2 linked regions of the Drosophila melanogaster genome follow. The protein of the gene in region 1 interacts with the protein of each later gene in a biochemical or structural test. Each region holds a gene or a part of one and is shown in the gene's direction. Other genes may lie near its edges.

The links.
Region 2: the proteins of Edc3 (region 1) and CtsL1 are reported together in a solved structure, tested with the Drosophila melanogaster proteins (one study listed by BioGRID).

What each region holds. Positions count from the first base shown.
Region 1 is NT_037436.4:17,518,653-17,534,782, reverse strand, and holds Edc3 (enhancer of decapping 3), read left to right. Parts: upstream 1-4,921; 5' UTR 4,922-5,314; coding exon 5,315-5,874; intron 5,875-5,942; exon of another isoform or gene 5,943-6,083; intron 6,084-6,162; coding exon 6,163-7,077; intron 7,078-7,139; coding exon 7,140-7,300; intron 7,301-7,362; coding exon 7,363-7,447; intron 7,448-7,502; coding exon 7,503-7,824; 3' UTR 7,825-9,450; downstream 9,451-16,130. Other genes in the region: Nedd4, read right to left, coding at 3,748-3,936. UniProt on the Drosophila melanogaster protein: In the process of mRNA degradation, may play a role in mRNA decapping.
Region 2 is NT_033778.4:13,954,025-13,971,361, forward strand, and holds CtsL1 (cathepsin L1), read left to right. Parts: upstream 1-7,156; 5' UTR 7,157-7,169; coding exon 7,170-7,241; intron 7,242-8,195; coding exon 8,196-8,312; intron 8,313-10,628; exon of another isoform or gene 10,629-10,894; coding exon of another isoform or gene 10,895-11,161; exon of another isoform or gene 11,162-11,462; intron 11,463-11,580; exon of another isoform or gene 11,581-11,671; coding exon of another isoform or gene 11,672-11,761; intron 11,762-12,730; coding exon 12,731-12,945; intron 12,946-13,005; coding exon 13,006-13,717; 3' UTR 13,718-13,957; downstream 13,958-17,337. Other genes in the region: AGO1 (Argonaute-1), read right to left, coding at 663-783; mRpL53 (mitochondrial ribosomal protein L53), read left to right, coding at 276-421, 893-1,020, 1,191-1,384; CG33155 (uncharacterized protein), read left to right, coding at 1,393-1,575; Rpn13 (regulatory particle non-ATPase 13), read right to left, coding at 4,621-5,374, 5,544-6,064; CG42806 (uncharacterized protein), read left to right, coding at 10,895-11,161; PheRS-m (Phenylalanyl-tRNA synthetase, mitochondrial), read left to right, coding at 14,385-15,578, 15,648-15,815; St4 (sulfotransferase 4), read right to left, coding at 15,892-16,280, 16,330-16,661, 16,717-16,951, 17,019-17,103. UniProt on the Drosophila melanogaster protein: Important for the overall degradation of proteins in lysosomes. Essential for adult male and female fertility. May play a role in digestion.

The sequences.
Region 1 (16,130 bases):
GCCTTGAGCCGGAAAATCTCTAGAGATTTAGCGGAGAATGCAGAGAGGATTACTGAGCGGTGGGCAGAGGGCCGGGCTGCACGTGAGGCACATCAAAGGCGGCTCAATTAGCGGTCGAAGAAAATGAGCACACTCACACAGAGGCTCGAGCATTTGCATATGTACCATTTTCACGTAGTGACGAGAGAGAAGAGAGGCGCTGCTCTCGGCAGTTACTTACATCACTGTTATTGCAGCCATGGATTTGGCCATCTTCGCTCGTCACCGATGGCGATGTGGTTGTTGACTCGGCCATTTTTACTTTATTTTGATGGCGATTGGGATTGGGATTTGGATTTGGTTTTGCCTCCGATTTGGACTTTATTCACTGCCGATTTTTCTTCCGCTGTTTACGTTTCGCGTTTGTGTTAATTTTCGTGCACGCCTCTCAAACTAAATTGAACAATAAATTGCGAGGGTTATAAAATAAACAAACACACAGAGCATCAGAATATTGGCCGCGTTTGGCGGTTTTAACTGCTCAAAACGAGTTGGTCAAAAAGGAATTTCATATTCTTGCAGCCTTTTTTGCGTTCTTTTTACTTGATTTTCACGGTTTTGGCGCACACACGATTTATTTTGGTATCTCGACGAGCTTTTTGATTTTTTTGCTTTTTGCTAAGCTGCAAGCTGCATACGGCGACAAAAAGGGAACAGGTTCCACAACAATTGCCGTTTTGTTTTTATTATGTTTATTGCGAATACGCAATGTTGGTTAGGGCCAAAAGGGGGCATGGCAGCATTAGGCTCACATTCCAACTTTTTTTTCTGCCCTGTATGACTAATAGGGCCCCGCGAAAAATGCGAAAGAAATGGGGAAATGCTTCTGCATTTGATGTGATTTCGAGATTTCTCGATTGTGCCGAGCGAGAACTGTTGCTTTACGGTACGTACGCTTATTTACTGCTTTTTTTTTTATATAATTAACACATTTCAGGGGTACTGTGCAATAAATTTATCTATATAATCCAGCGATTTGTGTGTGTGTGGCGGTACACTCTACAATATTTATAATTCAATTATTCACTTATTTATCTTTTATTAACGGCCCTAAACGATGGAAACAATAACAACAATAACAAACGGCACACCAACACTATTGCGAAAACATGTTCTGCGTAAATGTCTGCCTCTCTCGCTCGCTCCCGCAGCGAGTGTGTGTGCGGTCGTGGGTGCGAGCGCAACAGCAACAGCAACACTTGTCGGCAGCCGCAGCGCAAAACACGGAACTTGGCGCTTTCGCGTTCTAAGCTAAAATGAAGGCAGCTCCACTGAAAAGTGTGGCCAGCGCGTTCGGGCCAAGAGGTTGCCCCATTGCGGAGCTTTCATTGGGTCTAGTGTGACCGATGGAACGGAGTAAATTATTTACCTCATGGTCGGCTTCTCCGGGAAAAATTCTAATATTAATATATTAAAAAGCAAAATACGAAGTGGACTTGCAATACTCATGCATAGATATTTTAATGAATTGTCACAAAAAGTGCTCCAATTAACCATAAAAAGGAAAGTTTTTAATCTTAAAAAAAAAATACCAAAACAGTACTGAACACATTTTTCAACACTGAAGCCCCAGCTACAAGCTGTTGGCTGAAAGCTTTTTAAAATGACAGCTTAGCCCTGTACTCTTTTTGTCTTCCTCTCGCGTTTTCTCACTCCCACTGTTGACAGCTGCCATCGAACAAGTGTCTTTAAGCAAAACAAAACAAAAACAGCTGATCGGCTGCGCCGTGCGTTGATGTGAGTGGACTATCTATGTGTGCGTGCGTATCTGTGTGAAATTTGTATTTTGGGCTGGGAATCCCTCCAATTCCATTAATAATGTTCAGCTAAATAGCGTATAATCACTTATAATAGACATGAGAATGTTCTGACTGCTGACGCAATGGATTCAATGGATGTAATTGACCAGCTGTTGACTGATAAGCGGCCCATTAAGGCTATCCGCTAAGGCAATTGTGACGTCGACTGTTCTTACAAGTGCGTCGATTGGCCGACGTCACCGCTTGCCGGCTGACGTGCAAATTGGATTAAATAACCCAAATAACAGAGCTCAATTAGCGGGGGCATACAACTTTTGCGGCAAAAAAAGCACTAATGAAGATAAGCCATTCATTCATACACCTCCCACTTTTTGGACAGGAATTTCGAGCCATTCTGACAACGCTTCAATGAGTTCGACAAACAGAATTGAAGTGCCGTCAAATAATCGCTCATTGAGTGAAAGCAAACAGAGCAAACAACCAACACTGGGATACTAAAAAAGAAAGTAAAAGAAACACAAAACAAAATGTCAGTTCATAATACGTTTAGAAACTATGAATAATATAATTCTGCGAGTTCTGTTAGAAATTAAAATACTTTTATAAACCATTAAACATAGCCTAGGTATTAAAAGTTAAAACAATATTTTTCTCTCTGTGCAGCCAGAAAACCATAAAGTGTAGACACACAACATTCAAGAGGCGGCGGCCAAGAATTGTGTTGATAAATTAAATTAGCTTCGAAGATGCCGATGACTGCTCAAGTGGCTAGCATCTTTGGCAAATTAAGATAAATAAATTAGTTTAGTTTCCGTTCGGCCTGAGATGGCGAGCGAATTATTTGTTTATACAAGTGAGCAAAACAATAGAAAAGCCCATTCCAGACACTAAGTAAACAACGATGATGCCAGTTTATTTTCTGGCGGCTTCCTAATACTTTTCTTGGCACTTTTCTGCTCTTCGGAAAGTGCAAGTCAAGAAATGTTATTCGATTTTAAAAAATCCGCAAAAAAGCTACTTTTTCTTTAACATTATAAAGTAATTGGTACAAGCAAACAATGACTAAACGATAAAATGTAATGTGCTGTATTAAAGGCCCTCCTAAAAAAAGACTTATGGAAGTCACTCCTGAAATACAACTACATCTAACTTAATGGTTGACGAAATGCAACGACCTTTACACCGTAAAAGCTAGGTATTGGATAAGAACAGTTCGTAAGTTTTTCGTGCTTTTCGGCTTCTGAAGGAATTGTAGATCCCCTACTTTTCCCACCATACATATATCCCACTTTATCATCCATGAGGGGAGTGAAATCTACATGGCCCATCTACACGACTCAGCTGTTTGGCAATCTGCAGATTAGATTAGTAGTGAAAACATCGTAAAAATGGAAACACTAAATACAGCGGAGGCACTGATAAGGGCGACCAAATCCCCCAGCACCACCCGTTGATAAATACTTTTCAAATCTTCACACCAACAAAATGGTGGATACATTGTGGGCAATTCCTTATAAAAGGTTATAGGAATTGGTTGGCTTAGTTTTGATAAGACAACATTTCGGTATGCCCTTTAAAATGAGATACATTTATTGATTAGTCAGTTTGCAACGAAACCAAAACAATTGATAAGAGTATCTTATAAGATGTCATAGTAAGTAATACCTTACTATCTATTAAAAATTGATAAACATATAGGTGCCACGGTCACTATTTGGTGTTATGATAACTTAATTTGATACATACGCGTTTATATAACCCATAATTAGTTAACTGGCTTTATCAAAAATGGAATGAAATTTTTCAATCAGAGTTGGATGCGTTGTGAAATAAGGTTGTAACCATAAGGTGCTCCTACAAAATTCCTAAGATGTTAGAAGAGTTCCTAAGTTGTCCTTCAAGGTAAAGCTCTCTCTTTTCGTCGTCACCTGCACTTATGTAAACTTACCACTGCTGCCAACGATCTGCGAGGAGTGTAACCATTTCCAAATTCCTGGCGCGTTTGCTGTTGTCCCGCAACAGAGGCCGCTCGCCGGCGGGGCGGCGGGCGTGGCACGTCGCCGCCGGCCACCGAGGAAGAAGACGACGGGACGGGAAGGGCCGCCGCGGCCACCAAGCCGCTGGAACGTGCCGACATTGTTGTGTTGTTGTTGTTTGTTTCTTTTAGAGAAGCTTCTGCAATGAAAGAATGACGGAAGGAGAGAGGGTGAATATGTGCAAAGCGGAAGTGCAAATTAAGCGATAAATGACACGAAGAAGAAGAAGAGGAGGCTGCCATAAGGTAACAAGAGGGGGAAGGGTGTACAGAAGCGAAGGAAAGAAAAGCGAACAGACAACAAAGACAGCAAACAAAGTGAACAACGGTACTTGTGCTAGATGCCATCTCTGTCTGCCGCCCTGCCCCCGTGCAAGCGTGTTTCTAGTGTGTGTGTTGTGTGAATGAGGTGTGGGTGATAGAGCACAAAAGCCAAACATTTTCTTGATAATTAGCCAGGCGCGAAGCCATGTCTTTGTAGACCATTTATGGTTAGCATAAAGTTTCGCCCAAGTTTTCCACTTACGTTTACACACGCACAAACACGGGCCACTATATTTTCGCCCGATTTATGTATATATTTTGCGGTGGTATGCGTGTGGGCTCGCCTTTATCCACTATTTGCGGAAAATCATCACGTACTTCTATCACACGGCAAATTCTACACTGCTCACTATTCAAGCGATTATCACTTTGACCGCTTCGGCGGCGCACATGCCTTAATCGCCGATATCGGTCGGCTATAGGTGCCTGTATATATGTCGCACGCGCAGTATTAAATAAAATTTAAACACCGGACGGGAAAAATGCACAAAACGGCGACAAAATCGAGAACAAAACTGCCAGAGTGACCGTGTACGCGCACTGAGAACATACCACAGCACCCAGAAGCCTTAACAGTTAAGGGAAGCACTTGTTAAATTCATAAAATGGCTCGCAGGCTTTTATTGAACCAAATATTTATCAAAATAAGGTGAAGTTTCCGTAAAGCATGAAATTTGTAGTTATTATAAATATGTATATTATTATAAATTTATTAAGTAAACTAATTTGCCACGCAGCTAGTTTGGGTATTGTTCGGTATTATCTGAACACCAACGAACGGCCACACGCAAGCAGTGAAAATCCCAATGAAACGAGAAATCCAATAAGTTTTAGCGTCAATGTGTTGCAACGGTTGGTGCATTTATTGATTAAAAGAGACAAAATACCGAACCCCTTGACCGCAGAGCCAAATAATTCAAAAACACCCGACTTTAAGCCACAAAACACTAGAATCAACGGCGGTGCAGCAGCAGGAAGAAGAGGAAGAGAGGTGCGTGGTGCGTAGTTAGTTAGTGGCGAAATTGCGTATTAGAAACGAAAACAACAAGCAGCTCTGCGCGGGCCAGCAAACATTTCGAACAACCATTAGCCAGGGCAGAACAAGCCGATCCAACGTGTTGTCGCATTCGCAAAGGGAGTATCGAAAACTGATTACATGGGTCCGACGGATCAAGACTGGATCGGCTGTGCAGTGTCTATAGCCTGCGACGAGGTCCTGGGCGTCTTCCAGGGCCTGATCAAGCAGATTTCTGCCGAGGAGATCACCATTGTGAGGGCTTTCCGCAATGGCGTGCCGCTGCGAAAGCAGAACGCCGAGGTGGTCCTCAAGTGCACGGACATTCGCAGCATCGATCTCATCGAGCCCGCAAAGCAAGATCTGGATGGGCACACGGCGCCGCCGCCAGTGGTCAACAAGCCCACGCCCGTCAAGCTGCCCCACTTCTCCAACATCCTGGGCAAGCAGCAGCAGCTCCAACTCCAGCAGCAGCAGCAGCAGCTACAACTCCAGCAGCAACAGAAACAGCAGTTCCAGGAGCAGGAACGAGAACAGGATCTGCCATCGACGCCGCGGTCAAGGGCCAACGACAATGGACGGGTAGCGGCTGGCGGAGCATCGAGTTCTTCGGGCCCACGTGGCAACTTCAATTCGGCGCTAAGCGATAAGATGCATCAGCTGAAGCTAATCGAGACCAACGGCTCAAATGGCACCCTTAGGTAATATGGCCCATTAAACGATTGTGCAATGCCAATAATTTAAATTAATTGTTAGCTCTTTATAAAAAAAAAAAGTATGAAGATTTTTGCAGTCAGCACGATTGTGTTTATTTCATTTCATTTTGAAGCCATCTTTATGTTTAAACTTACCAACCTTGAGATACGAAATGAGTAAATTACCTTTATTACTGATAAAAAGCAACAGTCGTTTCAGATAGGTCTTGTGCCAACTGAGCGTCGTATTTAAAATAGGTTTCATCTAACTTTTATATTTGTTTCGTCATCCAGAACACCACAAACATCCCGTGCGTCCAGCGCTCAGCAGCAGCCGCAGATATCAACGACTCCCAACAGCGTGGCCGCCTTTTTTGGCAACATGATACCGCCGAAGGTCGAGGTGAAACTGGGCTCCTACGTGAGCAACACCCGGGAGAGTTACTGCAGCAGCAGCGGAGATAGCGGCGAGGCAACTGGTTTGTCGTTGGGCAGCAGCAAACCCATAGATATCGTCAGCAACGGAGATGGATTTTACAAGCAGACGGCAGCCTCGAGCTATGGGAATACAAATGGAAATGTAAGAAGGAATGGCAATGCCAATAACAATGGAAATGGCACCGGAAATGGTTCTTATACCAATGGAAATGGCAACGGCAACGGGAAGAACAAGCGGAACAGGGTGCGAAGGGAGAGCAGCATGCGGCAGCAACAGGTGCAACTGACTTTTGGCAGCGAGGCGGACGATCCGCTGATCCACGAGGATTTCGATTTTGAGGGCAATCTAGCGCTGTTCGACAAGCAGGCAATTTGGGACGACATCGAGTCGACGACCCAAAAACCAGATGTGGTGCGGCACATTGTGAACAATCATCATCATAAGCCAGAGCAGAAGTATCGGCACGACGAGAACATCCTGGCCAGCAAACCACTACAATTGCGCCAGATCGAAAGCATGTTCGGCGGCAGCCAGGACTTTGTGACGGACGACGGTCTCATTATACCGACGATTCCGGCTTACGTTCGGAATAAAATCGAGATAAGTGCCGATAAGGCGGGCCTCTCTCTGCAGAGGCAGATCGACATTTTGGCGCGCGGAGCCAGTGATCTGGCCATTACACTGCTGGGCGGCGCCAGGCGATTGACGCCGGCCAACAACCATCAGTGGCCGAAGATTGCCATCATCTGCGATGGCGGCAAAAATATGAGGTGATTTAATCAAACGTATATGGACATAACTTCAAGGCAGTGACTAACATAATTCCTTTCAGAACAATTAACATTGGAGCAGCCACAGGTCGCCAGCTGGCTTCGCATGGGCTTACTGTCCTGCTGTACGTGGAGCAGGCCAAACTGCTGGAGCAGAACAGCAGCAGCCCAGAGATTTCATTGTTCAAGGCAACCGACAATGTCATAGTTCACTCAGTAGACGGTAGGTTACTAATATAATAAAAAATATAAATAATCGATTACTGAGCTATTTACATTTTTCAGCCTTACCCACGCCAGATCTTGTGATATTATCAACTAACACCGCTAATTTATCGGATGCGATCAGGAAATGGCTCAGTGTAAATCGGTTAGTGAACCCCATTTAATGTCGAAAGTAAATTACTGTTATACGTATTTTTTAGCGCTTCGGTGCTTGCCATAGACCCGCCGCCGTGTGGCATTAATGAGGTTGCTATCAAGTACTCAATACTACCCATACTACCATTAAATGGCATATCAACAGCAACAACATCATCATCCTCTTCGGCTGCCGCCACACCAACTCCCATTGCTAGCACTTCGGCAGCAGCATCGGCTACCAAATCAGCAGCATCAACGAACAATTGTGGCAAATTGTATTTATGTAATCTAGGTATACCGGATAAATTCTATCGTGATTGTGGCATTAAGTACAAAAGTCCGTATGGACATAAATATGTGATACCGATTCACTCAAAGGACTGAAACAACGACAACACAAACACCAACATTTACAACAGCAATCAAACTGCAGCATCAGCAACAACTGCAATCCATTAAAACAAGAATAAGCACATACAACAAAAAACAATAACAATGACACACCCGCACACTTGTGATGATCATCAAGTCCAGTTTCCTGTGAATCTAGCTCTTAGTACTCTTCTCTCATATATTACTCAAGTTAAACATTTTGTTCTACGGCGCGTACACATATAGTTTTTAGGTTACTTCACGCATCATCCCTTTAGATACGCCTAGTTATTATAATCTATATTTTCTAAATTAATTCAAAGCTGCCGGCCAAGTGCCAAACTATGATTAGTTTCCAACTGTACCCTATAGATTTTTTTTTCATTTTAAGCAACGACACTTCTTGTTCAGCCCTCTGTTTTGAAAGCTAGTCCAGCATTTACAAGTTTATAAAGCTTTAGTTTAGGCGCACGCTCTAAGGAATTTTTCCAACATTCAATCCAAAATTTCCTAAGGTTTTAATTTAATTTACAATTCACTGTCCTTCCTGCAAGTGGTCTTCATAATCGTAAACAACAAATCAGGCGAGAAATTGTTTGTAAATAACTATACAATTCTATGGGGAAAGATAAGATCATGTTAATTACTATCAAGTATGCGCAATAAATGCCAAATTCAATGTCTAATTTTAAGCATTAAATCAACAGCAAAAGCAACAACTATTGTACGATGTAATATGGAATACAAATCCAAGTATAAATCAAATCAGATTAGTTAAGTAAGTTTCGTAAGAATACAGTGTTTAAAAGTTTAACAGACCATAACAAACAAAACAAAACAAAACTTATAAAATGAGAAACACTTTATATTATGTATAGAAATAATTAAGATGTGTCTTTAAGGGAAACTAAACAAAGTCGAGAGCATAATTTTTTACCCATCGAATACTAAAAAGAAACCACAACACAATACTTATAATATAAACTGTAGAGCGATTAATTTTATATAAGATTAAATCCAATCTAATAGTGCAAAATTTTAGAAGGTTGCGACTCAGCAAGGCAACCAAAAACTCAAAACAAAAAACCCAAATTGAAACTACTTGTTGTATAAATAATAACTATAGTTGTAAACTCCAATCATGTTGATGATCATCTGCAAATTCAATTTCCAAACCCATCAAATTATATTGTAAAAAGAGAGTTGAATGCGGATCAATCAGCCGCCAGGCGGATCCCGCAGTGACTGTTTTGCGTTAGGAGTAGAAACGATGACCAGACCTTAAAGGGATGTTGGTGGCGAGGGAGGATGAGAAGGTTTTTCCAATACCACAGTAACCACAGATTTCACAGCCAAACAAATTAACACCAAGACAAGGAGAAACAACAAACAACCAGATTTTGGTAACGCTTTAAAATTAAAAAAAAACATCTATTTTTGGGCCAATTGAAATTGTTAAACAAAGAATGAAAACCTAATTTTAAATTTATACTTAAAAGACAAAAATTGTACGTAAATTCTTTTTTGGAACCAGAAATCGGGCAGAAAAAAACGGATACAAGAGAAAGTCCTTTCCAACGTAACAGCAAAATTAAAAAATACAAAACAACACCGAGAAGCCTTCTCATGGAAGAAAACAAGCTTTACAATTGTGTTTTATTTTGGGTCCTATATTAATGGCGTTAATATAAATTATTAATAGTTTCTATACGGTATAGAAAGCGAAAAGGATAAAGATAAATTCTTGATGGGCTGTGGCATACGCATCTGTAAGCAAGTACATCCGGCCATGTTGCCGAATTGTTTCACTATACCATAGACTATCTATTTGAAACTGATATGTTCCCATTAGGCTTACCTTTATCTTGTTATTGATCGAGTTAACAGATATTCCAGGTATCTTTAAAGGAATACTTCGCATAGCACGATTATAAGATTTCCAGTCAAAAATATGACTTTGATGAACCCTTGCGAATGAAATTTAAGAAACTCGTTGACTCAGCTATAATTCAAGTGCAATTTTATTACATTCCGCTTAGATCAATAAAGATTAGTTTTAATTTATATCTTATCAGAGTGTGTCGTGTGTGGTGTATAACTTAAAAGTGTGTAGAACAGTGTGTTGACTTAGGCGTAGATAGATAAAACAATAGGTATTGTTAATAGATATATGGTAGTTAAAATCAGTTGGCATTATCGATCGATTCTTACCCACTGTCAGGGCCAAACACAAACAACTCTTTACACTGCTCTCATAATTCCCACTCTAAAAATCCTTGGCTGGTCGAAAAAATTAAACCAAGAACAGCCGTCATCGATGATTAAATTTGGTATTTGCTTGATTGTAATCAGAGATTAGTGGCCCGAATACTCACATCATCATATAGGCATGTACTGTACTGATCTGAGCCCCCGCGGCGGCATCGATTCTGTGGTGTAGTATGTGCCTATGCAATATTAAGAACAATTAAATAAAATAGCATATTAACTTATGGCAGCACTTTGTTGCTATGTTTATGTTTATGTTTATGCACGCAGTTAGGCCAGGGCAGATGTAACATGATCACCCACTCGAAGGCAAAAAGTATAAGTGCATGGTCAGCATTCACACGCCGACCAAATACATATTACATACGTACATACATATCTCGCTCTCCCGATAAGCCTAGATATATAAGATATACATAAGAACGCCGCTCCGCTGCTGGCGTACCCGGCAGCGCAGCTACGCGGATTAGCCTAAGTCAAAATATATAAAAAACTGTAAAATCAGAGAGACTCTGTAGACGTTGAGCTGACAGAACCATTTCTGCCTACTCTAAAATCAAAAGAAGAAATTGAATAAATATATGTCAGCCCGACGGCTGCCTTCAACTTAAAACGGACTTGTGTTCTTAATTGGAGTTCATCATTACATGGCGACCGTGACAGTCGTCCAACGCTGGACGAATTGACCAAAGCTGGTGAAAACAAAGGAACAAAGGAACACTGGACTGGAAGAAGACTGGACTAATTAAATGGAACTGCAAAAACCAAGGAAAAATCTGAGTGAGTAGAGTTCTATTGAGTATGGGCAAACACCGTGGCGGTTTGAAAACTAAGCTGAATAAACGTATAGCCCACGTAAGGTGGCTAATATACGGTCAGCAAACGCCACCGGTTTGGTCGAAAGCTCTAAAGCTACATGCAGAGCTAGACCACTTGTTGCAATATCAGCAAGAATTAAAGACCCATAAGCTCGAGAAAACTCACTCAGATAATATTAAAAATATACCCACAATTAATGAAGTTCCAAAATACCAGGCATGTCCAGCACCAGCACCAGCATTAACAAAACCAAAGAAGTCCTGCCCCCCTGGCTGCGAAGGAATCTGGAGTCCCCACTGCCTGGGGACTTGTGAGCGACCATCGACGTCTTCAGCGGCGAAGAAATAGACAGCAGCGAGGGAGTGTCAGCGTGCCACCCCCGGCGACGCCCAGCTGACACCCAACAAATAGACAGCAGCGAGGGAGTGTCAGCGTGCCACCCCCGGCGACGCCCAGCTGACACCTGATGAGCATCATCAACAGCAGAATATAATAATAAATATATATAAATATAAAGTAAATATAAAATATATATAGATAAGAAAAATTGTAAGAAATATTGTAAAACGGAGCATATACTATTATGCCCTGTTAACCCAATATGGCCCGTGAAGCCATAGCTAGAATCAGGCAGGCAACAATGTAAAATACAATTTTTTTTACTCTTGCGAACATTGAAAGATTTTATAAATAGATAATTCCAAACATAAATGTCTATAGAGACAAATGAAATAAGTAAAACTGAAAATAAAAGTATATACAAAGGAAATTTTCTATTCTATTCTCCAAAATATAAAATTAGTATACCCAAAATGGGTCTAATAGACACTAAAACTGTGGACTCTACAGCCAATGTAATAAATAAAGTAGAAGTCCAAAATGCAGACTTGTTCTGGATAACCATAATACTAATTGTAATTGCATTAATTATGGTATCCAATGCATTAATAAAAATATACAAACTGCATAACAAGTGTCTTAAGAAACGATACCGTAGCACTGCTAACGGTATAGATAATATTTAAGGAAGATCTTTAATAAAGTCAATTATGAATGAAAATATGAGAAAAATTATATGAAAAAAAAAATAATAAATAAAAAAAAAAATATAAAACGTAATATTGAATTTATCTACATTAAAAAAAAAATATATACAAATGAATAAATTTGAAGTTATGAGTATACCACAGCATGGACTGGGAAAAGCTTGTTGATCAGATAAAAGATCAAAATGAAAATTTCAGAAAATCCTATAAGTGCTTAACGCAAAACAGATCAACACAAGCTGTAACAATCAATAGGAATGCCCAAGTCTTGGTAAATAGTTATAATGAAATCAGAGAGTTGATCCAACAAAATAGAAAGAATTTGGAACGCAAACAGTGTGCTAAGGCTTTGAACCTACTGGTGACATTAAGAGAAAAATTAATATTTATAAAAAATAAATTCAGTCTCCAGATAGAAATTCCAACCATAGTAAACACCCCACTAAGAATAAATTTGAATGAAGACAGCACTAACTCTGACGAGGAAGATAGGACTATAGTCAAGGAAGACATTAAAGAGGAAGATCTTCACGATCTAACTATACCAGCAAAATTAATGCTGAAGAACGACGATAAAACAAATAACGCAGCCGACTCCGAAAATAACTTAACCATGGCAGAAGAAGCAGCTGCCATTAGGTCTTACATTAGGGAAGTCGCCTGCACAGTGCCAGAATTTGATGGGCAAAAGATCCATTTACAAAGATTCATTAAGGCAATCAAATTGGTAGACCTAGCTAAGGGACCATTTGAAGACATTGCAGTTGAGGTCATTAAGTCAAAAATAGTTGGCACAATTTTGAACTCAGTTGACAATGAAACGACAATTCCAGCAATTATAAACAAATTGCAGAAAGTAGTTGTCGGTGAGACATCCAGTAATGTCAAAGCAAAGCTAGCAACAGTTCAGCAGAGAGGTAAAACTGCAACGCAATTTACCGCTGAAGTTGATAGCCTGAGAAAACTTTTAGAAGCTTCCTATATCGATGAGGGTATACCTCTAGAACATGCCACTGGTCTAAGCACCAAAGAGGCAATTGAAACCATGATACATCGTGCTGAGCACGAAAGTATCAAAACAGTACTGGAAGCAGGGACTTGCACCACTATGGATGCAGCGATAAGCGCATACATAAGAACGAGTACAAGAGTTACCGGTGACATCAATAAAGTGATGTACTTTAGAGGTAACAGACCCAATAGAGGATACGGAAATGCCAATAGAGGTAGTAACCGCGGTAGAGGCTTTAATAACAATAGTATTAGAGGCAACTACCATAACGGTTACCAAAATAACGGTTACCAAAATAACGGTTACCAGAATAACGGTTATCAAAACCGCTATAATGGAAATAATAACCGTTATAATGGCTATAACAGAGGCCGTTATAATGGAAACAGAGGCCGTAACAACAGTCAGAACAACTACAACAGAAACAATGCCAATGTACGAGTAATCCAAGAACAGGGAAACTCGCAACAGCCTTTAGGTACTCAGTAGAAGAAGATCGTAGAGTATACACCATCAATTATAATCTCAACATATTTTCTACATTCATTCATGCCAAAACAGGCGTAAAACTAGTTTTTCTACTTGATACAGGTGCAGATATCTCTATTCTCAAAGAGAACTCTGACAAATTTTCTAATATTCAAATAACCAATAAAATAAACATTCAAGGCATAGGCCAACAGAAAATTCAGTCTCGAGGACAGACTTTTATTGAGATACAGACAGGTAAATACGTTATCCCACACGATTTTCATTTAGTAGATAAAAACTTTCCAATACCGTGTGATGGAATAATCGGAATAGATTTCATAAAAAAATATAATTGCCAAATCGATTTAAACCAAGAAGAAGATTGGTTTATAATTAGACCAAACAATTTGAAATTTCCAATATATATTCCCATAGCATACAGCTCTGGTATTAACACAACGTTATTACCAGCAAGATCCCAAGTTGTCCGAAGATTAATAGTATCATCAAAAGATGATAACATTTTAATTCCAAACCAGGAAATTCAAACTGGTATTTATGTTGCAAATACAATCGCAACATCAAGTAATACATTTGTCCGAATTTTAAATACAACCGATTCCGACCAATTAGTCAATATGGACACTCTAAAATATGAGCCACTTTCGAACTACAATGTAGTTCAGGCAAATAGTGAACACAGAAATAAAACTGTCTTATCTCAATTAAAGAAAAATTTCCCCGAATTGTTTAAATCACAATTAGAAAATATATGCAGCGAATATATAGATATATTTGCATTAGAATCAGAACCTATAACAGTTAATAATTTGTATAAACAACAGTTGAGATTAAAAGATGATGAGCCAGTATACACGAAAAATTATAGAAGTCCTCATAGTCAAGTGGAAGAAATACAAGCCCAAGTTCAGAAATTAATAAAAGATAAAATAGTTGAACCATCAGTTTCACAGTACAATAGCCCTTTGCTATTAGTACCCAAAAAGTCAAGCCCGAATTCTGATAAAAAGAAATGGAGATTAGTAATAGACTATCGCCAAATTAATAAGAAACTTTTAGCTGACAAATTTCCACTACCGAGAATAGATGATATTTTGGACCAACTTGGTCGGGCAAAATATTTCTCCTGCCTTGATTTAATGTCAGGTTTTCATCAAATCGAACTGGATGAAGGCTCGAGAGATATAACATCTTTCTCAACCAGCAATGGCTCATATCGTTTCACGCGATTGCCATTTGGCTTAAAAATAGCGCCTAATTCATTCCAAAGAATGATGACTATAGCATTCTCCGGAATAGAACCGTCTCAAGCATTCCTTTATATGGATGACTTAATAGTCATAGGTTGTTCCGAAAAACATATGCTTAAAAACCTCACTGAAGTTTTTGGTAAATGCAGGGAATACAACCTAAAGTTACATCCTGAAAAATGTTCATTTTTCATGCATGAAGTCACATTTTTGGGACACAAATGCACAGACAAAGGAATTTTGCCGGATGACAAAAAATATGATGTCATTCAGAACTACCCAGTTCCACATGATGCGGACAGCGCTAGACGTTTTGTAGCATTTTGCAATTACTACAGACGTTTTATCAAAAATTTCGCCGACTATTCGCGGCACATAACAAGATTATGTAAAAAGAATGTTCCATTCGAGTGGACAGATGAATGTCAAAAAGCATTCATACATTTAAAATCTCAGCTAATTAACCCAACACTCTTGCAGTACCCAGACTTCAGCAAAGAATTTTGCATAACAACAGATGCAAGCAAGCAAGCGTGTGGCGCAGTTTTAACTCAAAACCATAATGGCCACCAACTCCCAGTTGCTTATGCATCCAGAGCTTTTACGAAAGGTGAAAGCAATAAGAGTACAACAGAACAAGAGTTAGCAGCAATTCATTGGGCAATAATACATTTCAGACCATACATTTACGGAAAACATTTCACTGTGAAAACAGACCATAGACCATTGACATATTTATTCTCGATGGTGAACCCCAGCTCTAAATTAACTAGAATAAGGCTTGAACTAGAGGAATATAATTTTACAGTAGAGTATCTAAAGGGCAAGGACAATCATGTAGCAGATGCGTTATCAAGAATAACCATCAAAGAGCTAAAAGATATAACTGGAAATATATTAAAAGTCACTACAAGATTTCAAAGTAGACAAAAATCCTGCGCAGGAAAAGAACAATTGGATTTGCAAAAGCAAACCAAAGAAATAGCTTCAGAGCCCAACGTATACGAAGTCATAACAAATGACGAGGTACGAAAAGTAGTGACATTGCAATTGAATGACTCGATATGTTTATTTAAACATGGAAAGAAAATTATTGCAAGATATGATGTTGGTGATCTTTATACTAATGGAATTCTTGATTTAGATCAATTTCTCCAAAGGCTTGAATTGCAGGCCGGTATATATGATATCAGCCAAATCAAAATGGCACCGTGGAAAAAAATCTTTGAACACGTTTCAATAGATAAATTTAAAAATATGGGCAATAAAATATTAAAGAATTTAAAAGTAGCGCTACTTAACCCGGTGACCCAAATAAATAATGAAAAAGAAAAAGAAGCTATATTGTCTACATTACATGATGATCCAATACAAGGAGGGCATACAGGCATTACAAAAACCTTGGCCAAGGTCAAAAGACATTATTACTGG
Region 2 (17,337 bases), on another chromosome or scaffold:
CGTGACGCATGCTGTACACTCTTAACCACACTTAAATGAGGGCAAAGCACTCTCGCCCGCAGCCGTGCGAGTGAGCGAGATGACTATACAAGCAGCATCTGGGCATAGCGAGGCAGGGTTGCTAATGCCAGTGTTGTACAACCATCGGCGGTCATCGTGAGTGGGCCCGTTATCGCTATCGTCGCTCAGCTGTTACGTAGCGTGTTTGTTACGTCGTAAATTTTGTGCGGAAAAACCGCAGAGTTTTCATTGCCGCCGTGAAAAAAACATAAATAATGTCTGTGCCTTTCAGTGGCGCATTGCGGCGTTCCGGCGGCATTGTGTCCGCCATTGGCAAGCAGCTGAAGAGCGTGAATTTGAAGGGCGTCAAGCGGATAACCGTGCAGTTCGATCCATTCGCGGAAAATGTCAAGTCCACACGGTGAGTCGGAAAAGCGCTTTTCACCGATATCGATAGCGGGACATGCGCACTACACCCCCTATTCACCACTCAAATTGGATAGAATTTTCACGAAACCGAAAGGAAAAAGAAAATCATACTAAGAAGAAACTGAGAAAAACCAAAAAGGGTGCAGTGAAGTATTCACACCAGAAAAACCGATCCTTCGAGGGCTAAAAAGGTGATGGGGTTGGGGAATGAAATAAATGCGTGCCACACTCACCGTAGACTTTCCCAATGATGCCCACGGTGGAGGTCATCTGGAGATCCGGAAAAGTCAGCGGCAGCGTGTGCGGATGGAGCTGAGCTGGCCCACCGGGAGCCAGCTCACGCTCCGTGGACATTTTAGTCGGTGTCGGCGTCAGTTTGAGGCGGCGTCGCTGCTCCTGAAAAATCAAGTAAATCGTGATGATAAATCAATAATCTAGATATCTATTTCAATTCTAATTTCAGGGAATTCCTCTTCCTGCTCTCCACACCCAAAGTGGCAGCTACGAATCCCAAGTGCGTGGTCAAGCCAGAAATCGTCTGCGATCGCCAGCCGGCCAACATCAAGTTTGCCCTGATTGATTCAGCGCAAGGTAAGAATACCTAAACTGGGACAGCTGAAATATCTAACTAAAAGGAACCAAAATACATATGAAATATGTATTGAAAAATTGGTTTCCTTTTAGCGTGGGCAACTAAGTTAACCCTTTTGAAACTGCAACATTCAAAGAGCAAACACTTATTGATATTATATCATTCACAGAACAAGCCCAAGTCAAGGAGATCCGCTTCAACAGCGATAACCTAAACACACTAGAGCTGCTGCAGCTGTGCAACAAGCACGTGTCCAGCTTGGCACCGCGCGAGGAGATCACCAACAAGGTCCTGACCAAGGCGGAGAAACAGAAACTAGCAGGAGGCGCCGGCGGCGGAAAGAAGGCAACCAAGAAGAAGTAACCATCAGGATGGTGAGGAAGCACAAAGGAACACTGGCGGTGATCGAGAAGATCTACCAGGATATACCCGCATTCTCCGACATCTTCACCGAGGAGAGCTTCTACATGTTCGCCTTCTGTTTCGTGTGCGCCACCATTCTGGTGGCCTTCATTCTCTCCCGGTTCATCACCATCAAGCCCGTCGATTTCTAAGCCAATTGTATTGTTCAATTCCGCACACGTACTTTTCAAAATATATATACGCTCTAACATGTAACAAACACTCCGCACTGTATTGTCTTTTTGGCCCGACTGTGCAAAAGGGCAGCGCTCGATTCGATTCGGTCAGCCTGTCGTTTGTTTCATTTTTTTTTCGCCATTCGAAACCAGTTTTTCGGTCCCTGGCAAACCGGAAAATCATCTGCTCCTGCTGCTGCTGCAGCGGCTGCTGTTTGCTGCGCTTGCTGATGTCAGCGGATCGGAGAGCCGCCTGCCGTCCCAAAGCTTATAATCACAATGGGGCGGGAGGAGCCAATGGTAATTGGACCGCAGGAAGTCGACCAAATGGGCCATGCAAAGTGGACGGTGGACGTGGCTGGGGTGGACCACTACAGACTTGTTCATGAATTGTGGCATTAATTTGTTACTGCTCCAAGTGAATGATCATCTGCATTCTTGTAATGACAACAAGGATGCAACAGGCAGTGGAGAAAGCTTCTCTGTTGCCAAGACAGCTGTTGAGATGAATTGAAGTCTTATTCTAATGGGGGAGCAAGGAAGAAAGTGCACTGTGCAGTTCAAGCTTTGAGCTAAAGTTTTGAAATGGCGCGCTCTAAATGTGTGAATATGTACGTATTTGCGACGAAATCGATGGCTGCAACTGGCAACAATCTGTTGGAGTGTGGCAGCTGCAAAAATGGTTGGTGAAAGTTGCCCCAAAAAGCTGCGGCACCCTGTGATTAATAGAATTCTGTTCAGAGTGCCCCCAAGTTCAATGTCAGGCTGCAAGCTTTCTCCCCGCCTGTTCGCCAGCCGTTTTGAAGGAGTCACGTCGTAAAAACTTTCACCACCCACTTTTAAATTTTGAAGTTGCGAACGAGGTATTATAGCTTCGATCATAAGATTGCAAATTGGAGCTTGCGCATTAATAACATAGCAAATTTAAGTTTTTGAAACCGATAAGTTTTTTATACTTATAAAACCTTTTTTTAATATGTCGCTAGAAACGTTAAAAAGCTTTGTTTAATTATAGCATAAGTCCTTACAAATTGGTTTTAAATTACTGGTTTTTGTTATAAGTTAGTAACTCATATAAATTTTAACTCCCCAATGTTTTGATAAGATTTTAATCGGTTTAGGATTGGATCATATAATCCTATCGCAATAACTGTATAAAAGGGTATTATTAGTTTGTTAAAAGTTCAAGAGCATGTAAACCTGTCGACACGAACTTCTTCGTCGATTCGTGACGTAATTCGCGAGGGACGTGGATGGCGGGGATATTAACGAACGAAAGTTCTATTGGAAGCTAAGGATGTGACCTTTCTACCAAAACATAAACACTGTCTGTACGGTCGTCCCTCTCGCACCCCCGCGCTCACACGCTTGGCGCTCTTGAAAATTTCCCAAAGCATATGCTCAGGCGCCATTAGTGTTTTGGTTTCCTGTATTTTTGTTTTTTTTTTTTTTTTATTTTGGGGCACTTCCATTTTACTTGCAGCTCCTGCAGCTGTTCTGGAAGCCTCCATTTGCCGGCAAATTGAAAGATTCATAATTTTGTACTTACCTTATCGCAAAATTGCAGCTGACTTTGGTGTGTGTGTGCGCTTTTATCAGCTTTATCAGCGGCAAATCAATCGTTTTTTTTGGTGAATTCCGTTTAATGGAGGGGAACTCATTAAGGAGTTGAGTGGGGTTTGCGTCTCGACTGGATTTAAACCGTTGCGGACGTTACTTTTCCAGCGCTAATTGGAAGAAACGAGAAAGATAAGTGCAGGAAATGGAAATGGAATTGGTTAAAACGCAGTTTGTGCGGCTGCTGTTGTTGTTAGTGTTGCCAGATCGTTGCGCCGGAGATATGCATGAAATTGCGAGTCCGGGGAGCTTTTTGTTTACTTTGCTATTTGACAACACACACTCTTAAGCAGCTCCTATTTTATTTAGTTTTATTTTTTGCAAGCTTCCAGGCCTGTTTAACAGCGCGCGTGTGTGTGCGTGTGAGTCAAAGGTTGTCGGTGTGCGTTAGGCACTCGACTCTCTCTCTCTCTGTCTCACTGCCCTCTCTCTTCGCGCTTTCTGTGTTTGCTTTGATTTTTGTTTTTGCCGCGGCTTTTAACTTTTTTATGACAACTACTTTGGAGGGAAAAGCTTTCCCCACAGCTCCGCGAAGCAGTCATGCAAAAAAAAAACATACAGGCTGCCACTAGACACACACACCTTCTCACGTCCGCCAAAAGCACCAACACACAAACACACACAGGCACAGAGATTGCTGCAAAATGAAAGCACCAACAACAACAGATACAAAAACATCCAGCCCGCAACGCAAAAATTGGCGAAAAAATATGGCAATTACTGCAGATCTGGATATATCCGGGTTTGATTCGCCTGGCGGAGATCGCTTGAGATCGTTATGTATGAGAATTGAGAGTCAGCTTCGGAAAATTGCGAACGCGCGAGTTTTGCACAAACACAACTTATTTGCTGGCCGTTTTGGAATTGAATAAAATAAATATTGTTGCGTGTGCCTGTGTGTGTATATATCTGTGTGAGACGGCTCTCGCTGAGAGAGCGCGCAATTCGCGCCAGAAAGGGACGACCAGTGTGTTGCGATGAGAGAGCGGGGCAGCGAGCTTTTGTTAGGGGGACACCAACAAAATGACCTTGTCGGGATTAATATTACCGTTACTTCCATATATCCCCCCATTATTAACTTCAAAATTTAAAATAAATTGTACACGTTAGACTTTGTTTTTTTAAATTAAATTAGGTAAGCCAAAAACCCAAGTATAATGAGTATAATGATGCATTCTGAAAAGAGCTGGACGAGTACTTACCAAAACGCGTATCCTTTTATTAAAGTAGTAATATTTTAAATATAAATTAATAAGCCGTTTTGATGTATATCAAACACACAATTAGATAGATAACTACCGATTAACTCCCATTTGAATTTATTTAGCATCCAAAAATCACTCAGCACATGAAAAAATTTGCTTTCGGATTCCATATCAATGACTACCAAGCCGCACACGTAAGCTACTTTTGCTTCTCCTCCTGTTTTTCGGTAGCGGGATCTGTGTTCTCATCGCGGGCCACTGAAGTTGGGGTTTCGGGATCGCTGGCCTTCTTCTCGCTGGCGGAGGGTTTGCCACCCATGGTGGCACCGGGGGGCAGACTCTTCTCCAGAGCACGCACAAAATCCTCTAGATTGCCAGAGAAGGCGGCGGCCACTGCTTCGTTGGACAACTCGAATTGCTTGATCACAGGTCCCAGCTGGGCCGATTGCAGGGCACTGGAGAACTGGGCCAGAGCCTGCTGGAACTGCGGGGAGGTGATATTGTCCTTGATCTGCTGCTTGCGATCATCGTCCACATCCTCCGACTCGGGCAGGTGCACGATCAGCGTCTTGACATGCTCCGGATCGGCAATTATCTGATTGATGGCATCGGCGCCGGGTAGGGCCGTCGATAGGTCAATATTCAGGGATCGTCCTGCGCCATGTTCGGGGGAGAGATTGGATAAGTAGGCTTGGAATGGATTGGCATAGGCTCCGGTCGATTTTGACGCCGTTGTGGTCGATGTGGTTGAGTTCTTACCGGGGGCATCCGCATCAACGGAGGAGCCGGCACCTTCGCCGACCTGCGAGTTCACATTGCTGCTGCTGCGGCTGCTGCCCGATTTCGATGGAGCGCTCGGAGTGCGCGGCACACTGACGTTTTCGGGCGTCTGCAAGGCCGATGCCCCACCGCCACCCGATGAGGAGGTGTTGCGCGACGAGGGCGTCCGGGAGCTGCGGAGAATATAGAAAGGAAAATATTGAAAAAGGGGGTGAACTCAAGTTCTGGCTTCATTCCTTCGATTACATGCTTATAAACAATAAAAACGATACCCTGTAAGTTAAGAAGCTATCTACTTGACTAGTTCTTGGACACTATGGCTGCAAGGGTTTAAATGCTCACTTCATTTGGCCCAGCAGCGAGCTGAGACCACCCATCTGGCCAACGCCGCCGAAGAGCTGCATCAGCTGCTGCTGCGACATGTTGTTGAGCATGTACTGGAGGTCGCCGTCGTTGCTGCCGCCGCCGCCGCGCTGGTGGGCGGATGGAGGGTTGTTCAGCAGCTCGTTGATGCGGCGGCACTGCTCGTCGTCCTTGTCCGTCTTGGGCTCCTGCATCCAGAAGAACATGCGGCGTGTCGATGACTTGAACTTAAGCACATAGACACGGCCCGTCTTGCACTGATCGACGCGCTTGTACTCGAAGTCATCGGGGAAGACGATGAGATCGTCCTCCACCTTGCCGGAGGTGCGATCCTTCCAGCAGAAGTGCATCAGGCCATCGTCACTCTGGGTCATGTAGACCAGGCCCTTGCGCGGATCCGGATGCACCATCTTGCCCACCATGTTCATGCGACCTGCGCGGAACTCCACCAGGTTGCTGCTGTTGCTGGAACTACCCAGTCCACTTTGTCTTCCAAACATGATGCGGGTGCTTCTTGAGAGCTGGCGAAGATTGGATGAAGAACGTATTGTAATTACGACTTTCTTTGGCGCATAACTCGAAAGTGTTTTATGGTGCCGTGATCGGTTTGGGGTTATTAGTAGTCGCTGCACTACTTACGGGATATATAATGCGTTTACTTTGTTGAGTTTATCAAAAATTCAGTGAATCGTCAATTCCCAATGACGAGCAAAATTTGTCTTCTTCTTACCTCAGCAGTGTTACCATCAACGGGTGAATTCTAACATTTAGTATTTCAAAACACTGTTGAACAAAATTCAGTTTAGACATTTGTTGTATAATTTAAATTGAGTTCGTTGAGTGACTTAGAAATCTTTCGATTGCAAAAGTAACAAGAGAGGTATAGTTTTTAGTTATTTAACACTCATTATTAAATAAACATAAACTAAAAAGCTCTTGCATATATTTAGGCTGACCAATTATTTCGATTTAGCGACTGAATTTGGCCGTTTTACACACAAGAACTGCATCACTGCCCACGCTGTTATCGATAAGCCGTCTGCTCAGGCAACTTCTGGTATTTCCAGAAGATTCGGACTGGTCACTCTGTCGGAGATTTCTTGTTTAAACAATTTCTGCTGGTTTTCATTAAACAACGAAAGGTCTTTGGGACTGGATCATCAAGAGCGACTTGTTAAATACAATCGGTTGACTTGCACATTAGTGTTGTTTCAGCCAATTAAAAAGAGTGCAACAACAGTGATAAATCAGTGAATTTACTGCATTCCTTGCGACGCAATTCCGAGTGGTAAGCAATATATGTAGTCTTTTTAGTTATTTTCGAGTTGAGAACGCAAATATACCTGCCCTGCATTAATGCCGATTAATTGCTTCGTATTGACTTGTTGAATCTAATTGCGTCATGTCTGTGTGGCGACTTATTTACACTTTAATTGCACTCCACAATAATCAACAGTCGGCATCTTCGTCTATGCCCGTTTTTATTGCCCCTTTTGCTTTGCGCTTTAGATTCTGTTGCGCTTCTTTGTTTAGATTTTGTCCAATTCCCCTTTGTGCTGACCCATTTTTCTAGTCTTTGTGGTTTTTAACTCACCTGATAGCCAGATGAATCACCTTGGCGTTTTTGAAACCCGTTTTCGCCCTCGAACTAGGCACAAATCGCAGAGGGCACAATTGGTAAATAACAACTTTTATCAAATGCCTCTCACGTTTCTCAAAATGGGCGCAAAAACAGCAAGACAATGATAGAAAAACAATAAGTGAAGCAAATCGCGCAAAAATGGCAGACTTTGAAAGCAATACGAAGCTGCGAGGCAAAGTGGAATGGCCGATAAGATAACGCATCGCCATCGAAAAAATAAAAAAAAACAAATATTAAACTATATTGTTTATCACAAAGCAAATGTCAATATATTTACAAACGCCCCGCAAATCAGTCAAGTTTTATAGAAATAATTTTTATGTCTCTATAAAGAGAATATTTTACGCTAAAATCGAGAGAAGCTTCTTTAAAGGATCAAATTTCTCAAATTTGAACCGTTATTTATTCTTTCATTTTCACTCTTTTCTATGCTTACAATGATATATTTAAAAACTAGTTTTTCAAAACCATGTCTGTTACGAATTTAATAAAGAATTAAAATAATATATTTACAAAGCTTCTATTGCTAGATCTCAGATTGCTTATAGTTTTATACATTAAGTTAGCCTCAAATAAATAAATAATATTAATAACCTTTTTTTTATTATAAATTTGCAATAAATTGCAATTTGGTGCAATAAATTCCATATTTTACCCAATAAATATTAAATATTTTGCAGTGATTTTGATCGTTAGAAATTTATTAAAATATTGCTTAGGCTCATGACAAAGTTGCTAAGATAAAACTAATACTTTAATAGCACAAATTATGCTAATTAACCACAATTTAATAGTATGAATCATGAACAAGTGCAAGAAACTGACTTTATTCACAACTTTCCTTTATCGCTCGAGCAGCTTAGAATATGTATTTTACTTTAATTCGAAGTTAGTGAGCCAGCCCTGATATTTTGCAATCTGGTTTAGTGGCTTCACGTGACCGACACTCCGATTGTTAGTTTGCTTACTAATTGTGTGATTTCTTGCAGATTCCAGAACAAATCACAATGCGCACAGCTGTTTTGCTGCCACTTTTGGCCCTGCTGGCGGTGGCTCAGGCCGTTTCCTTCGCCGACGTGGTCATGGAGGAATGGCATACGTTCAAGGTGAGTTTCAACCGGATCATCTAGGGATCATATTTAATTCGCCAGGCCGAAGAGGCAGATAACAAGTGTTCTCCGGTAACAAGGGCTTGATGTGTAATGATGATTAATCCATTAATTTTTTTTTTGGGCCTTTGTCTTCTGTCCGACTTTGTTTGCATAGTTGGACGCGCGGCATTCTTCCGTTTGTGACGATTCCGCACTTCTGACTTCTGAGTCAGCAGCCATTGCGAGTGTGAATGCACTGCTGCGCGGCTGCCTCAAAGAGACGGAAGGAGGATTCAGATAAGTCCAAAAGTCTAGGCTGTCGTCCAGTCACATGCCGGCTCACATGACCGCAAGCGGCAAGCTGGGCTGCTTTGCTTAGCCCATCCGTAAACATCGGCTGGATGGGCAGATAATCCAAGTCGTTGTGTCGCCCACTTTCGCTACGCTCGCGGTTCATTTCCCGCCGATAAGCCGTGCAAGACTCAAACTGGTCCACTGCCGGCCGACTGATAAGGCGCGGGTCGCATATTTGCCATCACACTTTTCGCAAGCCATGTTTCCTAATGCGACTTCGATTTTTGCCCCCTTCTATTGCATATATATGTGTGTCCATGGTTCCATTGATGATTGGGCCAATCATCCTTTGTCTCGCAGCCTTCACTTGCAACTTCGTCTGCTTATCAATGGTGGATTGTCTATTGATTAATTGAATGCGCCCCTAGTGTCGTCTAATTCTTATCGCCAACAGTCAGGGGTCGTGATTTTTTCCATTATTTTACTGAATAGTTCCGTGCCAAGCGTCATTAGCCCCAAATGGGGGCGTACAAATAATAATTAGCTGTTTGTGCAGAGATCTCATGTGATAAGGGGGATATATGTACATCTCTATATATGCATATTGGTTTAATAACTTTGGATATTTTGCCTTTGATGGTTTTATATTCACTTTTCGAATTCAAATTCAAATGCACCCGCATATGCAATATATGCATATAACTTTATTTCCCTTCCTTTTTTTATCTGCTGTTAAATATCATATTCAATTGAGTGACTCATTTGTTAGAGTAAGCACAGAGTGGTGTATTAAATTATTGTTTATAAATAACAAAGTCTGATCAACTGAAAGAATAGGAATCATATTTATGGAAAGAGTTACTCATCCTTAATTAAAAATAAAAAGAAAATCAACTAAACATTTGCAATTTCCCCACTCATATATTATTTACCTAACTAAATTTTCTTTGATCATCTAATTTAGTTTAGATTTAGTTTTCTTTTTTTTTTCAAAATAAACTCACAATTACTTTACATTTGCCATTTTACATTTCGAGACCGTTAGGTGTCATGTAGAATACTGCAAACGCTCGGTCACACTGCTGCAAACAGTGCTACCCATGCTTGCTTGGGGAATGAAAGGCGCGCAATTTAAATGTGATAACGATGCCAACCATTAGCTCTCACTGCTTATAGTTAGTTAATAAAAACGACATTATCTGTAATGTGTGTGCAGTCCAAAGTGCCACAGTTGTCGGTTGCAAATGCACAGCTGCAAAAGTCAGCGTTGAGCAACTGTGGCACTGATAAGCTCTAAAATTCCAGATTAATGCGTTTTAATTTAAGCAGCTATTCGCATAGTTCGGCAAATATTCAACAACAATATTTAAGAACAAGTCGTGCGGGGGGCCGCGAGCATTTTGGAAATGACGCGCTACAAATCGGCGTTGCTTATCAAATTGCCATTTTTCGCTGGCATTTCCGAGAGCCGAAAGAGATTTCTAGCATTAATTCCCCGAGTGACAAGTGCACAAACAAATCGGCTGCCGTAAATAAACAAGCTGGGAAAAATTTCGCTGACTTGCAAAAGCAGCATGCGGCTCTTTTCTTACATTTTTTATTAAAGATACATAAGTTTCTGTTTTTTTTTTCGTTTTTTTTTAAATCTGTTACTTCTGCTAACCGGTTGGAGCAAACATATTTGAATAGCTCGCCTGAAATCCTTATAAATCAAAATGAAACCGGTTCGCCTTTTTGAGCAAACCCACAATGCGCGCGCTGCAAAACAGAAGGAAATATACGAAAAAGCATAAGAAACAAGAAATATATAGAGTACGCCCGCCTGCCATCCTCCAAATTGGTTGGCCTACGTAGATTGGGCTCTCATTTCGATTTCGGCGATACGAAGAAAGAGTGTAGAGTGTGTTGTGTGCGTGTGTGAACTCGGCTCTTTTTCGCCCCGCCGTCATGCGATTGAGTTTGCGTTTGCGAGCGGACCACCACCATCACCACCACCACCACCAAAAGCGAAGCAGCCAGCTCTGTCGTATTTTTGTTATTCCCGAACCGACGCTCCACGCCAACGGAACGCTCGAGCAGCCAGCGGCAGGCAGTAGCAGCAGCAGTGCAGAGCGCAATATATAGAACATTTGAGAGAAAAGAAATAAAAGGAGCCAAGTCAGACGGGGCCCCCAGCGGTGGTAGTAGAAGTACGGAAAAGCACGCGCGTCATCGTAAAAAACGTGCTACGAAATCGCAGGGAGACGGGCGGTAATAGCAAATAAATTACATAAAAACCACGGAGGAGCAATCACAGCATAAGAATGACCGATACCAGTGCAAATAATTTGGATGTATCGGTGGATGTGGTCTGGCCGACGATAATTGTCCTGGCCATGCTGGTCATAAATGGCTTCGTTTTCGCCTACATTATGCGCAAGCGGCGGGAATACAAATGCCAGGAGGAGGAGCTGCAGCAACAACAACAACCTGTTCCACATTCCTCCTATGCGGCCACTTCGACAACGGAACGGCATGCGGATGCGGATCAGGAGGACGATAGCTGTGCCATCGAGATGGAGCGACTGTAGGGATGGAGATCGCACTAGCTAAGCTCTCTGATACTCAACTACTATCGTCCAAGCTTCTCAACTGCAACGAAGTTTCCTAAGCCACATATGTAGTATATCTAGATTGATAGATACAAAACGTATACGTCGAGTGCCTGGATATCACATCGGATCGCACGTGCATTTAATTACGGTGTTTTTAAGTTGTTAACTCTATCTGCATATATCGCAAATTCAAATTTTCTACAAAAGTATACAATAAATGTGTGAATTTTATCATGCGGCAACGAGAACCAACGACGTTTGCAAGGAAAATCAATAGGTCAGTGTGCCGGGAGGCGCCTCTTTTCTGCCGTTACCACCTCCTCCCTCGAAATCACAACGGGCGGGGTTTCATTTTGCTGCAAGACTCGAATTCGATTCAATTATGTCAATTATAGGAGTCAACCACGGACCAGTGGACCCCATCCGGTCCATTTGGGGCGACAATTGCTGATGCTGGTCCGCTTTGATGTCCAAAAGTAATTACACATGCATGTTTCTCACATGACAGCGCCACTCGACTGTTCAGTTCAATGTGCCAAGTACCCTGGAATATTGCAAAATCTACTAAGACTTGTGGTGAGCCACTTAAAAAGCGATTAGGTTTGGGTTTATACCCATATTTCACTGAGAAAACATGCCACTTTGAGTGCGTTGAAGAGTCGCAAAAAAATAACCAGTTTAGCAATAAACACTTTTGGAAAATGCATTTCAGTTTAGCATGTTTGCTATTTGGATATTCGTGAGCAGTAATAATGAGTTTTGTTGAATAATTCTATATACTTAACTTAACTTTCATAAACTTTTCGATTCTATGCAAAGCCGCTAATTTGGTATTCAGACAAGAGGAAGTCAATTTTTATTCACAAATTTCACTTTGAATCGAAAACTACCCCCATATAGTGGCATTTGCCGAATCTAATGGATAGCAACCTAGTCGACTTCTTGCCCTGGCCTTTCAATTCCCTTTATAGCTATCATTTGTTTAGCGTTCGTGCTATTTTCGTGCTGTGGCTGTGTCAATATGCGGGTCGGACTAACAAACAACCCCGAGCTGGGAGAGGAGGTCTCTTATCCACGGGACCACTGCAGGCAGATGGAGCGCATTTCCTCGTGCTGGCCTCGCTTCTCCTATTCCTACCTGCAGTTTGGCTCGTTTGTTTACTACCTGGAACATTAACACCCGTTTCAAGTTCCTGTCGTTGGGCAATCGTTAAACACAATTTTATGACCATGTTTTATAGATTTATAGAGCTTGCTACTGTGGCCGTTCCTCTAGAGCGTTTCGCTCGTGCCAGGTTGACGGCGCTGTGATAAGGTGTAATCTGCAGATTAAGAACTTTTGCCTCAGCGATCGTAAATCCATTTTACGTAAAACATTTTATTTGATTTTTAATAGAGTTCCCAAAAATGCGTCTAAAAAGTTAACTTTTCATTTGGTTGGCTTTATCTTATCTTGAAACAAGTACACGAAAGTCAATCGATAGTAGCACTTACCTTTGATAAGAGTGCATTATCTAACTAATACTAATACTTTTCATTATGCAGCTGGAGCACCGCAAGAACTATCAGGATGAAACCGAGGAGCGTTTCCGCCTCAAGATCTTCAATGAGAACAAGCACAAGATTGCCAAGCACAACCAGCGATTCGCCGAGGGCAAGGTGAGCTTCAAACTGGCGGTCAATAAGTACGCCGATTTGCTGCACCACGAATTCCGTCAGCTGATGAACGGCTTCAACTACACTCTGCACAAGCAACTGCGGTAAGTTGGGATCGTTAAGGATTATAATGTGCACATATTCAACTTTGCATTCGCTTTCAGTGCCGCCGATGAAAGCTTCAAGGGAGTCACCTTCATCTCGCCGGCTCATGTGACGCTGCCCAAATCTGTGGACTGGCGCACCAAGGGAGCTGTGACCGCCGTCAAGGATCAGGGACACTGCGGCAGCTGCTGGGCCTTCTCCAGCACAGGCGCCCTCGAGGGTCAGCATTTCCGCAAGTCCGGTGTCCTCGTCTCGCTGTCCGAGCAGAATCTGGTCGATTGCTCCACCAAGTACGGCAACAATGGATGCAACGGCGGTCTCATGGACAATGCCTTCCGCTATATTAAGGATAATGGAGGCATCGATACCGAGAAGTCCTATCCCTACGAGGCCATCGATGACTCGTGCCACTTTAACAAGGGCACAGTCGGAGCCACCGATCGTGGATTCACCGATATTCCCCAGGGTGATGAGAAGAAGATGGCCGAGGCTGTGGCCACCGTTGGTCCCGTTTCCGTCGCCATCGATGCCTCCCACGAGTCGTTCCAGTTCTACTCGGAGGGCGTCTACAACGAGCCGCAGTGTGATGCCCAGAATCTGGATCACGGTGTGCTGGTCGTTGGCTTCGGCACCGACGAGTCCGGCGAGGATTACTGGCTGGTGAAGAACTCGTGGGGCACCACCTGGGGCGACAAGGGCTTCATCAAGATGCTGCGCAACAAGGAGAACCAGTGCGGCATCGCTAGCGCCTCCAGCTATCCCCTGGTCTAGAGCAGAACTGATGTAGTTTAGCCCCAGCATTCATATGATATGATTTAGAAAAGAAACAGAAAAGATACCAACGCAAGCATCTCAAAAATGAACTTTAATAATTTAGCCCAACCTCATATTTAATGAACTAATTTTGTAATGGGTCCATTGTATTCGCGTTTCTCTGCCATCATGTATGATATAGGTGAACAACAAATCTGTTGATGTTTGTAGAAAAATAAATAAAAATTATATAATTTTAAAAATTGAAGTTTTTGAATTGGGAGAGAAGTTATTTTGGCAAATCAAAGTTTTGCAGTCAACTAAGTTTGGTTTCTTTTCACTCAAGACATCCCTTAAAAATATATTTTATGTATTTTGCTTTGAATTTGTAATATTTGATTACTTATTCACAATTTTTAGTTTTGATTTAAAAAATACATTTCAATTCATACAATTTCATACAATTTCTGTTCAACACTTTCGCTTTCCGGCAGATGGCGCCAGGTGGTTATCCAACAGCTCTGTTAGTGTGCGCCTAACAGCACAGTCCGTGCTGCTGAAGCCTTGCGACTGCTGTAGAAAATTATCGATATGTTAACATAACATCTGATAACATAACATAACTTCCAAGTTATAACAAAAAATGCAATAAATAGTTGCATCGAATCAATAAAGTCCCTCCAATATGCTTCTGACGCTTCGAGTGCAGGGAGCACGGCACTGGTTGAAGTCCACCCGCTGCCTGGCCAGCAGTGCGGCGCCCGCGAAGTCGCCGTCATCGCCACCGCAGCTGGAGGTCAGTGGAAGCACGTACGCCACCGACGGATGGACGAACGTAACGCCCAAGATACTCTCCTACGTGGGGGCCAACAAGCACCTGCAGACGGACCACCCGCTTTCCATCATCCGCCAGAGGATCGTAAACTACTTTTATGGAGCGTATCGCAACCAAAGGGGCAATCCACTATTCTCCGTCTATGATCAAATGAATCCGGTGGTTACTGTGCAGCAGAACTTTGACAATCTGCTAATTCCCGCCGATCATGTGAGTCGACAGAAATCCGATTGCTATTACATCAATCAGCAGCATCTGCTGCGCGCCCACACCACCGCCCATCAGGTGGAATTGATCTCGGGCGGGCTGGACAACTTTCTGGTCGTGGGCGAGGTGTATCGACGGGACGAAATCGATAGCACCCACTATCCGGTATTCCACCAGGCGGACGCTGTGCGGCTGGTCACCAAAGACAAGCTTTTCGAGCGCAATCCTGGCCTGGAACTCTTTGAAGAGACGTGGTCGGGTACGCTGGCCGACCCCAAGCTGATTCTGCCCTCATCCAAGTTCATGGACCAAACCAAACAGCCCTGCCACACGCTCGAGGCCGTCAAGTTGATGGAGCACGAGATGAAGCACGTGCTGGTTGGCCTGACCAAGGATCTGTTTGGGCCGCGCATCAAGTACAGATGGGTGGACACCTATTTTCCCTTCACCCAGCCCTCCTGGGAGCTGGAGATCTATTTCAAGGACAACTGGCTGGAGGTCTTAGGCTGCGGCATCATGCGCCACGAAATCCTGCAGAGATCGGGCGTTCATCAATCGATTGGCTACGCCTTTGGCGTCGGCCTGGAGCGACTGGCCATGGTGCTGTTCGATATACCTGACATCCGGCTCTTCTGGTCGAACGACAGTGGCTTTCTGTCGCAGTTTAGCGAAAAGGATCTGCACAATCTGCCCAAGTACAAGCCCATCTCCCACTATCCGCAGTGCACGAATGACTTGTCGTTCTGGCTGCCCCAGGACATTGAGGTGGATGCCGGCTTCTCGCCGAACGACTTTTACGATCTAGTCCGCTCTGTAGCTGGTGATATGGTGGAGCAGGTTGGTCTTAGCTATCCCAAACGTATCATATGTTACGAGTATTTCTCATATACTTTACTTTTCTTACAGATCAGTCTGGTGGACAAGTTTAAGCACCCGAAAACGGGGAAATCGAGCGTGTGCTTCCGCATTGTTTATCGCCATATGGAGCGCACCTTAACCCAGGCGGAGGTCAACGAAATCCACAAGCAGATCGCTAGTGCGAGCGTGGATAGTTTCAATGTGCAAATACGTTAGTCATAGTCTAGTTCCGTTTCAATTCAAAACCAAAAAAGAAAAACACCAGTAAAGATAGCCAACAAAGTCAGGTATTTCATATGGTCTTGAATGATTTAATATTCTGTTCCACCCACTCGTTGGCGCTCTTCAAAAGCTTCGGATTCTCCACGAACTCCTGTTGCGGCTGATACGCTGTCTTGGCTCCGCTGCGCACGAATCCTGCCTCTCCTTTGTTGAGAACGCCAACGGAAGCCATTTCGTGCATGTTTACGGACTTGTTCTCACGGAAGCTTCTGATGCTCAGATGATCGAGTAGCCTATCCATATCCTCGGGTTTCGGTGGACACTCTAAGAAGCTGGCTATGCTGTTGATTGCACCTGGCAGATCAGCCAACATGTCTTCGTAGCGCAGAAAGAGTACATTGGACAAATGGGCATGCTCCCGCGCCTCCTTAACGTGACTGTAATAGGGCAGCCAGGGATCTGAAAGATAGTTGGTTAAGGATGGCAACTCCATCGAAGGATCACTTACTTAATCCGTTTTGGAAATAATGCCAGTAACGCTCAAAATCTCCGACGTATCCTTGGGTGCGGAAGAGTCTGTTCAAATGGTAGTAGGAAACTGCAACATCCTTGGGATCACGAACCACATAGATCACCTTGCACTTCTTTTCGAGAACACTAGGCGGCATTAGAGAAAAGGGGAAATGCGTTTTGATAAACCGTCGCTGCGAGCGTGGTATTTCGCTCAAAGCCTCGTAACCCGGTCGAGCTATCTTCTCAATGAACTCCAGAGCTTCAGCCGAGTCTCGGTTTTCCTCCTGCAGCTCTTCCTTAATTTTGGGATGCACAAAGAGCGGAAATCTAAGGGCGGTTGGAGTTCACTTAATTAAGATAGGATCGCGCGACAAGCACTCACTCAAAGAATGGAAAGCGTTCGGTTAGTGGTCGCTCCTGGGCATGCTCAAAATCCAGCCCATTGGCCACCAGCCAAATGAGCTCCTGCGTCCAAGTGGTGCCCGATCTGGGCACCGTGGCTATCCACACGTCATCCGGCCGTGCCTCAAAGTTGTAGTACCGCTCGGCCTCGTCCTTGTACTTGTGCGGAAAGAAGTAACCCTCCGATCCGACCTGAACGAAGCCAGTTCGCTCACCTGTTTTTTTTTTTTTATTTTTTATATACTAGGTGCATCACAAGCCATTTGCGCGCTATAAACATACCATGGAAGTGATCCAATAGCTCAGCATTGGTGGACTCCTCCACATCGCGAATTTCGTGTGGAAACTTGAGAGGCGTATTTTCCATTGCTCGCGCGATCAGTTGCCAGCGTTGACTGAAGAACCGCCCGTCATGAAAGCGTCTTGACCCCGCTTTCGGCCCAGAGAGAAAGTGTCAGCTGCTGGTGCTGGTGCTGGTGCTGGCCTGGCTAGTATGGCACTCCATTGCCGCTTGGCTAAGCTCAATTTAAATACGACTTCAGTTAATGTCTGTGTACTTGCTGACGCTGAATTTTCCCCAAAAGGTGTGGTTCCAAGCCAT